Linked DNA regions of Notamacropus eugenii. The protein of the gene in region 2 interacts with the protein of the main gene of each other region in a pairwise test. Links are inferred from orthologs where the notes say so. Each region holds a gene or a part of one and is shown on either strand. Other genes may lie near its edges.

The links. The genes of interacting proteins can lie anywhere in the genome.
Region 1: the proteins of FXR2 (region 2) and MBIP interact in binary tests that used the Homo sapiens proteins (3 or more experiments, as listed by UniProt). The two-hybrid records come from large-scale screens. The link is inferred for Notamacropus eugenii from reciprocal best matches to the Homo sapiens genes FXR2 and MBIP.

What each region holds. Positions count from the first base shown.
Region 1 is NC_092872.1:329,005,465-329,012,758, reverse strand, and holds the start of MBIP (MAP3K12-binding inhibitory protein 1), read left to right. Parts: upstream 1-4,293; 5' UTR 4,294-4,364; coding exon 4,365-4,490; intron 4,491-7,294. UniProt on the Homo sapiens protein: Inhibits the MAP3K12 activity to induce the activation of the JNK/SAPK pathway. Component of the ATAC complex, a complex with histone acetyltransferase activity on histones H3 and H4.
Region 2 is NC_092873.1:78,374,505-78,381,680, reverse strand, and holds the start of FXR2 (RNA-binding protein FXR2), read right to left. Parts: upstream 3,011-7,176; 5' UTR 2,910-3,010; coding exon 2,829-2,909; intron 2,387-2,828; exon of another isoform or gene 2,297-2,386; intron 1,831-2,296; exon of another isoform or gene 1,778-1,830; intron 1-1,777. UniProt on the Homo sapiens protein: mRNA-binding protein that acts as a regulator of mRNAs translation and/or stability, and which is required for adult hippocampal neurogenesis. Specifically binds to AU-rich elements (AREs) in the 3'-UTR of target mRNAs.

The sequences.
Region 1 (7,294 bases), on a different chromosome or scaffold from region 2:
GCATTAATTTGTGTGAAGTGTTTTGTAATTGTGTTCAAATAGTCCCTGGGTATGTCTTGGCAAGTAGACTCCAAAGTATTTTATATTGTATGCAGTTATTTTAAATGGAATTTCTCTTTCTACTGAGTTTGGTTGGTAACACATGGAATTGTTAATGATTTGTGAGGGTTTATTTTTAATCCTATAACTTTGCTAAAGTTTTTAATTGTTTCAACTGCTTTTTTTTTAGTTTATCCTCTTAGATTCCATAAGTATATCATCAAGAGTTTTATTTCTCCATTGTTTATTCTTATTCCTTCAATTTATTTTTCTCATTTTATTGCTACAACTAGGATTTCTAGTACAATATTGAATAATGATGGTGATTATGGACTTCCTTTACTTCACCCTCAATCTTACTAGAGAGGCTGCTAGTTTATCTCCATTACAGGTAATGCTTTTTTTGGATTTAGATGAATACTACCTATCATTCTAAGGAAAGCTCCATTTTTTTCCCTATGCTTTTTAGTGGTTTTGATAGGAAGGAGGAGTTGTATTTTGTCAAAAACTTTTTCTGCATCTAGTGAGGCAATCATGTGGTTTTTGTATATTGTTACTGATATGATCAATGTTTATCATTTTGTTAATATTGAACTAGCCCTATAGTCCTGGCATAAATCCATTCTGACCATAGTATGTGATCTTTCTGATATATTGCTATAGTCTTTTGTTTAAAACTTTGCATCACTATGTATTAGGGAAATTGTCCCTAGTTTTCTTTATTTTTTGCTCTTCTTGGTTTAAGTATGAAATCCATATTTGTATAATAGAAGGAATTTGGTAGGACTCTTTTTTTTTACCATCTTTTTTCAAGTAACATGGTATTGAATTAATTTTTTTAAAGTGTTTGGTAGAATTCACCTGTGAGTCCTAAGAATTTTTTCTTATGGAATTCATTCATGACTTGTTAGATTTATTTTCTATGATATGAGTTATTTTAATATTCTATAGACTCTTAGATTAATCTGAGAAATGCATATTTTATACAACTTCTACCCATTCCATTTAGATTGTCAGTTTAATTGTTATATGACTAGTAGCTCCTAATAAGTGTTTTAGTCACCTTCATTGGTTTTATAACCACTCTTTTCATTTTAGAAGCTAATTTGATTTCTTCTTTTTTATCAAATTAGGCAATGGTTTATCTATTTTATTGTTTTTTTCATAAAGCCAGCTCCTAATTTTATTAATTAGTTCAATTTTGTTACTTTATTAATCACTCCTCTGTTTTTTTTTAAATTTCTATATTTGTATTTAATTGGGGATTTTTAATTTGTTCTTTTTCTATTTTTTTAGTTGCATGCCTAATTCCTTGAACTGATTCTTCTCTCTTTTATTCAGGTAAGCATTTAAACATGAAAATTTCAACTAAATACTATTTGACTGCATCACACACATTTTGGTATGTTGTCTCATCATTGTCATTCTCTTTAATGAATTCATAGATTCTTCCTATAAATTTGATCTTTGATCCACTCATCCTTTAGGATTAGATATTTGATTGCCAGCTAATTTTTAATTTCTACTTCCAAGGTCCTTTGTTGAATGTAATTTTCTTGCATCATAAAATGAATAGGGTAGCACTTAGCATTTTTGCTTTTCTGCATGTGTTTGTGATGCTGTTATGCCCTCATAGATGGTTAATTTTGTGAAGATGCCATGAACAGCAGTCTATCATACCTAAACTTTTATAAAATTTTATTCATATCCTTACTTTAGTTTGTGCTTATATTTTTCAGAGAGGTAAACAGAGGTCCCCATTATGTAATTTTACTCTCAATTTCCTCCTGTAACTCATTTAACTTTTCCTTTATGATTATGGATGCTATGCCATTTGGTTCATATATATTTAGCTATGGTAACTTTTAGTAAAATGTAGCTTCCCTTATTGTCTATTTTAATTGTCTGTTATTGCTTGTTTTGTCTGAGTTTGTCATGATACCCCTGCTTTTTTCACTTCTGCTGAAGCATAAAAGATTCTGCTCCAGCCCTTATATTTAAATTCTATAGGTCTTTTTTTTGAAGTGTGTCTTTTGTAAACAATATACTATTGGTTTCTGGTTTCTAATCCATTCTACTATCCATTTGCATTTTATGAATAGTTCATCCCATTGACATTCATAGTTATGATTGTTCACTGTGTATATTGCTCCATCCTTTTTTCTATTTTTACTTTTTTTAACCCTAGCCCTTCTCAAAAGTCATTTTTGTTTCTGACCAATGACTCCTTTAATTTACCCTCCTCTTCACTTTCTCTCCCCTCTTTTCTCATCGTCTTTCTTCCTACTTCCCTTTTGGGTAATATGGATTTCTATACCCAACTGATTTTGTGTGTGTGTGTGTGTGTGTGTGTGTGTGTGTGTGTGTATGTGTGCATGTGCATGTGTATTCTTTCCTCTTTGAAATAGTTCAAATGAAAGTGAGGTCTAATCTACACCCCACTCCATTTCTACTTCTATTGCAAAAGAATTCTTCCATGTGCACTTCTTTTATGTGAGACCATTTTTTCACATTCTTCTGCTTTCCCCTTTCTCTTATTTCTTTTGAGAAATTTCAATATAAAAGACTCACACCCACTATCTAAGTAATCTAAGTAAACTCCTTCTAATTACCCTAATGATGATAAAGTTCTTAGGAGTAATGTGTATCATCTTCCTATTTAGGAATGTAAACAGTCTAACTTTCTTAAGTTCTTCATGATTTCTCACTTGTGTTTACTTTTTTATGCCTCTCTTGAGTCTTGTGTTTGAATGTCAAATTCAAATGTCAAATGTCAAATTTCAATGTAGCTCTGGTCTTTTCATCAGGAATAACTAAAAGTATCCTATTAAATGTCCACGTTTTCCCCTTGAAGTTGTAGTCAGTTTTGCTGGATAGGATATTTTCATTGTAATCCTAGCTCCTTTGCCTTCTACAATATCATAGCTCAAGCTTTCTACTCCTTTATAGTGGTAATCTAACTGTGGATCCATGGTATTTGAATTGTTTCTTTCTGGTTGCTTTCAGTATTTTCTCCTTCATCCCAGAGTTTTCAAATTTGACTATAATAATTATGGGATTGTTTTATTTAGGGATCTCTTTAAGGAAGCGATTAGTGAATTCTTTTGATTGCTAGTTTGTCCTCTGGTTGCAAGATATCTGGACAGTTTTCCTTGATAATTTCTTGAAATATGATGTCTTGGCTCTTTATTTTTTTTTTTTTTATCATTGCTATCCAATGGCTATTCATGGTTAATTCAATAATTCTTAAGTGGTCAGAAAGAACCGTTTGATTTTTGTTTTACAGACTTTTCCAGAAATTTCTCTTCCTCAGTCTTTGAGCAAAGCAGGGAAAGGGATTACTTTCCCTCCCCTTTTTAGTGCTGGTGTCCTTGCTAAGAGACACACCTTAGCTTACATTTACTATCCAATATGATTCCTAAATTTTCATTTCTCCAAGCCAGACCATAACCTGGTTATTTTATGGATACTTACAAAAACTGTTCTAATGTTCTGGATTTGCCAGTTTTCATCTCAAGTTTCTCTCACATCCCAAAATAAATGAGTGAATGGAGAAAAGGTACAGAAGCAATCTAGGCCCAAGATGCAAGGTCACTGATTGTGTTAAAAGACGGCAAAACTACCATCCCTTTCCTATATAAATGATACTCAAAATCTGAAAAGGGCAAAATGTGAAAAGTGCCCCATATTCTAACATACTCCCCTCAGGGCAAAATGTGCAGTCCCTGCAAATTACTTGGAGTACACCAGAGCATCTGTGGCCAGAAGAGGATGCCCAGAAGAATTCCAAGGGAAAGTACAAGCTGTTACTCCCCCTGACTCCGTAGCCAATCATCTTCAAGATTCTCCTCCTCTGACCAATCAGGAATTGCTGTCCCTTAAGGAAGAGGCCAGTGCATATGTCGCAGAAAAAGGGAACCGAGTGTATCTCCACCTCCCATCAACAAGTTGCATCACTTGCCACGTAAAAACATGAGCCAATTCAGTCCGAATGTTTTAGTAAACTAAGACAAAAACAATACCCCATAACTTTTAACACGTAAGATACCACAAAAGGTACTACAGTTTAGACTTCTGCCTCTCACAGTCCAAGCACAGAATGACTGCAAGGAAGAAGACTGGGCAGGAGTGGGCTGGAAAAGCTGCTTCTTCCAATCACCTGATTGGTCCTCCTGTTTGCCAGTCAGATGGAAAGGGGTGGAGCCCCAGAACACCGCGCTTAATGTAAGGACCGCTTCTGATGACGTCATTATAACGCGACGCAAACTGAAGCGCGAAAGGGGGCGGGGCTCAACAGGAACCTCCGCAGCAGTTGGGGAGGTGTCATGGCTGCTCCTGTGGGGCTATCGGGGCACCCCCGAGGCGTTGACAAGAACCCGGATCAGAGCTTCAGCTTCTACCGCGAGGTGCTCGTTGGTTTCCTCCACTCCCTTCGCACCCTGACAGGGCAGGTAAATGACGGCGGTCTCTCTCTCTCTCTCTCTCTCTCTCTCTCTCTCTCTCTCTCTTTCTCCCTCTCTCCCTCTCTCCCTCTCTCCCTCTCTCCCTCTCCTCCCCCTCTCCTCTTTCCCTCCCTTCTCTCTTCTCCCTTTCTCCTCTCCTTTAACCAGAAATGGGGGTTGACCGAGGCTCAGAGCTTGGGGGCGCTTTGGGGATTCCCGCCCCAACTACAAGACCATTAGGGTTCCACCGGGACTTCTCTGCTGCTACAAACCTGCTCAGATTTCTCTTAACACTCATTTGAGGGGTGACTTAGGGGGATTCCCCTTTCTTCTCCCCCCACCCCCCCAAAAAAAGAGAAAAAGAAAGGCAGCGAGCGAAGAAGTGGGCAAGAGAACCAGGCCTGGAGAGGAGGAAGGCGGCTAAGCCCCCTCGGTGGGGCCGGCCGGAGCGGGGAGCTCAGGATCGGGCGTCTGAGGTGGAAGAAGCTTCGCTTAAGCCTCTGTGAGGAGAAGGAACCCGGAGGCAGCAGAAGCCTCCTCTCTGGGGAAAGGTTGTTCCCCCGCTATTTTTGTGATTTGATATAATGAATACTACTTTTGTTTACGTTTTTTTTTGCCTAGGGAGTCATACAGCGTTTATTAAAAAAAATAATAACTTATTTACTCATCTTGAGACTAGGATACTTTTGATGCCTCTTGGGTGTAGTTAAGACGAATTGGGTAATGGAAGACCACTTAGTCGCGGTGTTTGGCAATCATTTTTACTTAAAAATGCAGAATTAAAAGCCGGTTATTTATTTACATTTTTAAAACTCATGTTTAAAAGAAAAAAATTAAGCACTTCTTGTAACCATCTGTTCAATTCCTACTAGGAGATCTTGGCGTATTTAAATTATAATTATATGACCTAAATAGAAATTGGACATCAGTCTTTTTTTTTGGTTAGTGACCTTTCATTAGCATAGAAAACATTTTAGCTGTTAAAAACAAATAGAAGTCTCCCAAGTACTGGACCCGATAACAGTTGCCTTAATAATCAGTGTGATAAACTAAGTTCATAAAATAATCCAAGCTTCCGATTTGTGATGGTAGCTTTGTTCTTCTGATTATTTTTGCAAAGTGTGTTTGTGTGGGGTAAGAAAAAAATTCACTTTTCTTTTTATCCATCCAGAGTTTGTGATATTCAGCCAAATTTCGAGCAGTTATTTGTGGAAATCATTAAGCAGCATGCGTAGTCAGACTGTTTTTTTCAAGTACTTGATAATTATACTTTTTAAGTTTTTGAAACGATATGACTTAAAAAAGAATTTTATTTTAAACGTTAACATTTTAGGCCTTAGCCATTCTAACTTCTTTTAAACAAAAGATAAAAACAAAGCAGTTAGAGCGTAATATTGTGAATTAAGATGGGTTATTATAAATATGAAATTACACAAAATTCTGTTATTTGCAAATGAGATAATTTTTTCGTATGATAGGTGGAATTTTAAAAGAAAGTTCATGCAGTAAATTATATGAAAGTTAGTGCAGTGAATTATGTAAAAGTTTTCACATTCCAGAGATATTTTCGAAAGCATATTTCCTGCAGATTATATTTTTATGTGTTTTCCAGAATCTCGGTTCCTGTATTGTCCCTTGAGTAAAATTTACATATTATACGTCACTGTCAAATGTGTAAATATTATTACTTGTATCTGACACGAAGAAGATGATATCAATCAAAAATTAGGTCAGTTAGATGGTTAATCAAAATATACTGACCACATTGATAATTGTCTGTGTTTTTGAGTTATTATTTAGAGATTTGAATAAAAGCAAAAGTACTTATAGTATCACTTTAGGTCATTATTTGCTTTTGCAAGAAGCTAAATCATAAAATTTGCATGGTCATCTTTGCTTAAGGTTAGTGTTTATGATGTTCCTAATTACTGGTATTGTTTGTTAGGGAACACAGTTTTAAATGTGTTAATGTACATGCTAACTCAAGTCGTGAATATTCTTAATTTTTAACTTTATAGTTTGTACCCATTAGCCCTTTGACTATTTTTCGTTTGTTTTGAACTTGAATATTTTAGTGCTTTTATTAATTTCTCTGCAGTGGCAAAAAAAAAGGGGGGGTCCTATCAATGAAAGGCTAATAAAGGTTTTGGAGTCAGTCAATTCTTACATTTTCTATAGTACCAAATGTTTAAATTAATCTTGTTAATTAAGGTTACAGTGAATAGTCATTTTTTTTTAGTTGAAATTAAAATTACCCTTGTATTTGAGTGAAGGATTACATGGGGTTTTTTTAGATTCTTTTTTTAAAAATGAAAACAATTACATTGAATTGAAATCTTAATGCTTTTATAATAAAATTAATATAACCTTCATTCTCTACAAAAATTTATTGTTTGGACTTCATGGATTCATTACCAAGTAAGGTGCTTATATTTACTGTAATCAGATTTTTTGGTAAGATGTACAAATACATCAATTCAGTGAATATATTAAAGGTTTGTTATCTGAAATCTCTTTATATGACATTTTAGAAAATACACATTGAGATTAATTCACACGTCATTGCCTCATATTTCTTTCTATATCTCTGGAATAGACTTTTAAAAGTTAGAACCACAATCTAAATAACTAGTGTCTTTTATATCATGATGTTCTTCCATTTGTAGCAGAACCATTTTGAATTGTTTTGCAGTGGGTTTTTTTTTTTACATTTTATCTCCTGCATATAAACTTATGAAGGATTTATTATATTGTCTTTTATAAAAATTAATTTGTTGCATAAGTAATAATCCAAACCAGTTACATTTTTTAAA
Region 2 (7,176 bases):
AGGTTGGTCTGGTCCTTCCGAATAATATGGGGAAGCATGGTGGCACAAAATCCTTCCTATCAGGGAAGCTGAGGTTGGTGAACCTCTTGAGCTAGGGAGCTCAAAGCCGCAGTGGACTCTGCTGATCAGTTTCTGAACTAAGTGTGGAATCAATATGATGAGCTCTGGGGAGCTGTCAGGGAGGAGCCAGGCTGTCTAAAGAGTGGAGAATCAACTGGGAAAAAGCTCTGGTGCAGATCAGGTACTATGTTTCTGTCTTAGAAGCGGACTGGAGATGGAATTTGAAATAGCCTAAGACTGAAGTGGGAAAATACGTAAGTTCTTGGAGGAAAGCTGGAGAGTTAGAGCTACAGTGACTAAGATCCTGTTAAGGGGTGTCTCTTAGATAGAAAAGGATATACAATGGGATTCCCATATCCAGAAGAGAGGGAAAGAAACCTTGTCAGGGGATATAATTCTCAAACAACATGGCCCCTCCTTACTAACTACCCTGATCTGCTGAGTCATGAAAACTGGTTCTAAAAACAGAGTAGCAAAGTATTCAAATACAAAAGGGTAAGGAGTTCAACAGAGAATGGTAATGGGAAAAAAAACACGCTGGCATTGAGAGAGACAAGTAAATAGATTGTTGAGGTATTCTAGTCTTCAAAATGGGGGAAATGAGATTTAAATAAATGTCAAAGAGTACAGAAATCCATATGACCTGTTTCCCAACAAACTGCTACTTTCCAAGTCCAAAGCATCCTCACCTCAAATCAAATCCTCACCACATCCACACTGGCTGAGGAGAAAGATCTTACAAAATATTGGAGAAGCTGAGGTTTTAAAAGAAGTTTCAGCTACCTGTGTATATGTAAAGGGGTGGAGTGAAGTGGGGGGGGAGAACCCTCTTTTCTCTCATCTAGATGATTCTTACTAGAGACCAATCTTGTCTAGAAGCTGTCCCTAGATACCAGGTAACAAAGGAATGAGAGAAGACTAAATGTAACATTTTATAGACTACCTCTGACCTAATCTCAAATCCTTTCTCCTAGAACCTGAAGAATTTATGATTGGGGATTTAGAGAGAATACAATACAAAAGGAGGGCAAGGGGCCCACATGATGAAGTAGGTATCTGGAAGCACATTTCAACGAAGAAACAAGGAAACATAAAGGGAAAAGAGGTTAAGAACAAGCATATGCTACCAGACACAGAAGGGAATCAGGAATGGAGGAATTTCTGCCAGGTCAAATAGGAATGCTGCTTAAGGGGTGAGTTCAAGAGGAAACAAGAGTCTACTCTGAGGTGCTATTATGAAGACTCTGTGTTATCACATGGTCCAGAATTGAAAGGGAAGCCCAGGATTTAGGAAAGAAATGACAAAGAATCAGCTAAGGAACCTCTTTTTGCTGAAGAAAGATTTAAGGAAGTTTTCTGGAAATAAGGATTCAGATTGGTTAGGCGAAGTTTACATAGTTAACTACTTAGATTAGGGAGTGAGCTGAGACCCAGGTTACCAGAGATGAAAACTCTCTGATGAGAGAAATGCGAGTACACACCATGGCAAACACCAAATCCTTTTTAGTCATAATGCGAAATATGCTTTGGGGAATAAAGGGAGCAGAATGGCTCAGAGGCATAAGGGTCTGTTGGGTAAAGGACAAGGGGGAAGGGAGGGCAGAATCTCTCCCCACATGTGGTGATAGAGGAGAAATATCAACAAACATTTATTAAGTAACTATTTGCTAGGAACTGGATAAAGACAAAAATGACAATCTGCCCTCAAGGAACTTACATTCTAGTTCTTCCAGATGTAGGATAGGCTACAATATATGTTCAAACTCAGGCCTGGGAGGTAGAACAAAAACGTTGGCAGGGTATAAGTTACAAGGATGTCCCCTCCCAGCCCCCCCATATTAGAGAATTAAGGAGAAGAAAATCTTTGGGAAGCAGTGAGTCTTCAACTTCAGTTATTTTACCTATGAAAGGATACCCCAGAAACCAAATTAGGGGTGGGTAGAAAAGGGTGTGGATAAAGGGAGGGAACCTCTGCAGAAATGCCTTCAGAGGGGAGCTTGGGGACAGAAAAGGGTCCTCCAAAGGGACTCCTAAAAAAAGAGCTGTAGGAGAATGCCCAAATAGGGAAAGTTACTAGGGAACATTCTAGAAACAGAAATGCTTTAGGGAAAAATAACAGGGGATGTATCCACTCCTAGGAGAGGGGTCCACTTGAGGTCCTCTTGGAGGAGAACACAGGCTCCGTTTGGGGAATGACATCGGTAATGTAAAAGTGCATACATGTACTGGTCCTTACCCGGATCAAGCAATATTCTAGGTAGGTCTTGCGTGGAAAGTAGAGGTATGGAGGTAGAGGACTTGTATAATGAAGCCATCGACGAATGAGAAAGCAAAATGAATGGCAGAGCACAGACTTCCTAGAGGTCAGGGGGTGCTACAGCTGTTAGAGCTGGGGTTCAGCTTTTTTCTCCCTCAGTTGGGGAATACGAAGTGGGAGGGGCTCTGCCTGAGATAATGGACCGAAGATGGGGGTGGGGGTGGGTTACACAAAGACACAATTCAAGTCTCAGCAGCCCTAGGTGACTACAGAAGGGAAGGTCAGCGGTGCAATGAGCAGCAAGGGTGTTCCTGCGCTGAGGTCCCTGCCCCGGGAAGGAGGGAAGAAGCAGGCGAGGGGCCTGGAGCAGCCACGGGGGGAAGGGACGGGGACAGGCCCAGGGAGTGTCTCCTGGAGGTGGGTCGGGGGGTGGCCGAGGAGGAGTCCCGACAGCCCCGCGCTTCCCCGGCCCGCAGGCGGGCAGGTGTCCCCGGCCGGCGCGCCGCCTCACCTTGTAGAAGGCCCCGTTGGAGCCACGCACCTCGACCGGCAGCCCCGGCTCCATGTCCCTCCCGACAGCTAGGCCGCCCATGGAGGGGCCGCCGCCTGCGGCGGCTGCTGCTGCTGCTGCGGCGGCGACTGCTCCTCCTGCTCCTCCTCCGGCGGCGGCGGCCTGAGCTCGGGCCGGGCCGGGCCCCCTGCGTCGCCCCCCCGGGGGAGGAGGAGGAGCTGGCGGGGACGCCGCAGGGGGCGGGAGCCGGGCAGGCCCCACACCGGCCCCGCCACAGCCGACGAGCAGGGGGCCGGGGCCGGGCCGCTCCCCGTCCGCCGCCGCCTCGGTCTCCGCCACTGTGAGGGAAATGGCCGCCGCCGCCGTCTCCTCAGCCACTGCCTCAATCCCGGGAAGCCGCCGCCACCACCACCTCCGCCGCTGCCGCCGCCGCCGCCGCCGCCTCCGCCTCCGCCTCCTCCTCCTCCTCCTCCTCCTCCTCCTCCTTCTCCTCCACCTCCCTCCCCCCTTCCTTCCCTCCCCCTACCGCCGCCGCCACCGCCGCCGCCGCCGGCGCTACTACCTACTGCGCAGGCGCGCTCGGCACCCTCCCGCCCCGCGCCCAGAGACAGGAGAAAAAACACGGCGCAGGCGTCGAGGAGCGCGTGACCGTGAGTGGTTAGCGCGCGCACCCGAGCTGGAGCCTTTAACCCTAACCCTAACCCCTAATACAACACACCGCACGCACGCACGCACGCACACAGCTACGCTTGCGCAGAAGGGACCACCCCTTCCAAGGGCGTGTCGAAGGGCGCAGCGGCTGCTTATGTCACTTTCTCCCACTTTCCCTCCTCCCCCAATTTCTCTTTTGTCTGCCCAGCTGCGCAGACTCGTAGATGCGAGGGAAGGGAGCCGGGGAAAAGGTGGAAGGAGTCAGGTCGAGGTGTCCGCTTCGTGCGCGTGCGCCGGCGGAGCGGCCGCTGCGGTGCTCCTTCATCCTTGGGGCTTTAAACCTTTCATAGCGTTGGGGGGGGGGGGGGGACATTAGTGGGAGCGGAGTCGGGACGTATGTAGCCTCTAAGTGCCGGCACTGGCTGGATGTCCGTCCGTCCAGCGCACGCTTGCTTCCTGTTCGCTGAGACATTAAAGGCGTGTAGAACACACACATACACGAAATGCGCTTGTTAAAATGCATTTTAAAGCAATCCGTAATTTAAATGGTGGAATTAAATCATCAAATGAGAGGCAGAGGGGTGTAAAAGCCCCGAAGGCAAGGACATAGGTCTTCTAGTCACTAGCCCTGCGGTCGGGGGAAACCACCTAAATACTTTGTGGGGCAATTCTCTGACTGTCAGAATTGGCAGAGGAAGTTTCCTCACCGGGAGTTCCCCACAACAATGAAGTCACAGGTGCAGCCTTCGTCCCTTTCCCCAGACAAAAAAAGAGCCCCTGCTGGCCGGAGCGAGCCAGTCCGTGCTGGAGGGCCGGGGCGAGTCAAAGGGAGAGAAGAAAGAACAGGATGTTCAGGGACAATGAGGAGGCAGTAACGTGATGCTGCTGGAAAGGAAGGAGCGAAAGGCCGGGGCCAGGCTGGCCAACAGATCAGCCACCCTGGGGAGTGTCTAAAAATAAGGACTGGCTGAGATTACATTCTTTCCTTCTGCAAATACAGCCCTTGAGGGCAGCAACTTTTCAAAGTTTTCCGGAAAAAAAAGCTTTTGCTCCCCCAGGGTTTAGTGCAGTGCCTGGCACACAGTAGGCTCTTCATGAATAGTGAACTGAATTACCTTTAGGAATCCCTTCTATCCTGTGGCACTGCGGTAAGAAATGGAGATGAGATGATTAACACTTTGTCCTACCCTCGAGGAACTTAGTCTTTTAGAGGGGTTTAGATCTGTGCACAGATAGGTAAAATGCAAAATAGGAAATAAGTGCATAGGAATTTAAAGTGCTAGGAGATTTACTGGGATTTCCTCCAAAAGTGATTCCCCCCTCCCAAATACCCCTCTTGATCTGGGGTAATCTCAATTCTTCCAGGCTCCAAATCTTTTGACTCAATACTTTTCAGTCCCTTATGCTTCTTATATCCAACAAAGATACCCTTTGCCTTCTCCCCATGTGAGCTGAAGCAGGAAGGGGTGGGGGTGGGGGTGGGGGTGGGGGGGCAAAGTTCTTTTCCTTAAAAGGCACTGAAAACTGTCCTGGAGACTTAATTGGCTCTGGGACTAAGGCTCAGGACACTTTCAGTAGCTTCCTGGTTGCCTAAGAACAAAAAGGGCCAGATGTAGGAGCTTCAACCCCTCCCTCTGTTCTGACCTTGGACCAGCTTGACCAACTTGGTTTAGGAAAGTTATGCTCAGCTGAATCAACATTACATCTTCCCTAAATATCCTTCTCCTGCTCTTGAAATATCTGTCAGATGGACTACAAAATGCCACATTTCATCCTAATCTCAGACCGGAGCCACTTGACCAGCCTTTTCAGCTCTGGCCTGCCAACTACGTATCTATTTCAGTATTTAAAAGTCCCACTCTACTCTGGAATTTGATTCCCCCAGTTCCAAGTGTATAGAGTATTTTGTGTAATCACAAGTGAAAATAGGGTTCAAACTTCAATCCAGTGCCTTATCTACCGAGCTAGAGTCATTCATTAAATAGCAAACTATTTTAATAGGTAGTAATAGCAATGTAAATAATAAAGGAAACTCATGCAGTTGAATAATTTTTCAATGCTCTTACACAAAAGAATATTCCCACAGACTCTTGCACTGATGAGAAAATTCCTCAGACAACTTATGATATTATTTAAGAAGGGATTCTGTGCAGTTGAAGCACCCAATATCTTCTTCAATACAAGGAATGTTTTAGCTCTTTGGTGAGACTACTCCTAATCAAAGTGCTGAGGGGCTAATAAACACACTTAGCTCTTGTTAAACATAGTGACCATACCTGGTTGACACTCAAGCAACTGTCAATATCTTTTTTCCCTTCACTCCATGCCACTCCCACTCCACCAAAGAAAACCCCTCTATCCTTCACTTGGTTTAGGATAAATGAATTCATTTCAACTCCCATCATAGAAATGAAAGTTAGTGCTTGGGCCATACAGATTATCTTGAAATTCCAATAAACCTCAAGGAGTTATTTAGCAATGTTTGGGGGATGGGGAGTAGATGTGGAGATGTGGGCTTTTGCCCTTTATCCCTGTTTATTAGCAGTGGTTCCTGTCATCCTTATCTGGGAGGCAACCAAAGCCTGCTTATTTTTTCTGAAAAATTTTTCTTCTATCCTTTAATAAAAAAATGGATATTTTTTTTAACTTTGAGAGTAACCTGTGTCAGACTAAATTATTGGGATTTTTAAGTGGATAATGTGCAAATTCCATTTTCTCATCTTCCCTTGGTTGAGAGGATGAAGGAATCAAGTTGGATTAGGGATTACATTTTTCAAAATCTACCTTTCAGTCAGAAGGCTGAAGTTTTCTTTGCCACTAAGGATACAAATAGAAAAGGCCAGTGTTCTTCAGATGGATAAATAACTAAATCCATGGGATTGTTTGGAGTCAGAACATTTTCATTTTGGGACTAATGGGAAAGGGATCTTTAGATTCTGTAGCCTAGAAGAAATTACTAAAGGCCAAAAAAGGCTTGAAGAAATCTAGAGGGAGAATAGTGTATAAGTTCCATCCTATCCAGTCTGGTACTAAAAAGTTTTCTTTTTACTCTAATTTCTAATTCCTTCATATATGTTATTTCTGAATTTGTATGTCTTATTTACCCTTATTTTAAAAAAATCTAGAAAATGCACTCCTGTGTTTAGTAGAGAAAGGGAGTGGTAATAAGAAAAAGAAGTGGGAGGGCAGACAGACCAGGGTGTCCAGTTAAAATGAGAGCAACAGAAAGTAAGTAATTAGCCACTGATTCTGACAGATCTCTGAATTTGGAGCCCCAAGCTGATTCAGAGAATGAGGAAGATCTGGAGAAATGGTTCCTCAATCAATGATCAAGGAAGGATTAGAAAGATGAAAATATTGGGAGGGAGGTATGTGTGTTTGTCCTTTGTTGCCAAAGAAGACCATGCTATCAGAGAAATAATGATATGACTTGTACTTGACTTTGTTCTGAGTGAGGAAGGGTTGTTCAGGTCACCAACCTCACTTCTCCTCCAGAGCCATCTGAAAACAGTGACCAGATATTCATCAGGATGACTGGAGATGACCCAGGATGAGGCAATTGGGGGTAAGTGACTGGCCCAAGTTCACACACCTAGTGAGTGTCAAGTGTCTGAGGTGAGATAGAACTCCTGCACTAGTACTCTATCCACTGCACCACCTAGCAGCCCCATTCCTGGGAGGGCTAGTTCTGTGGAGA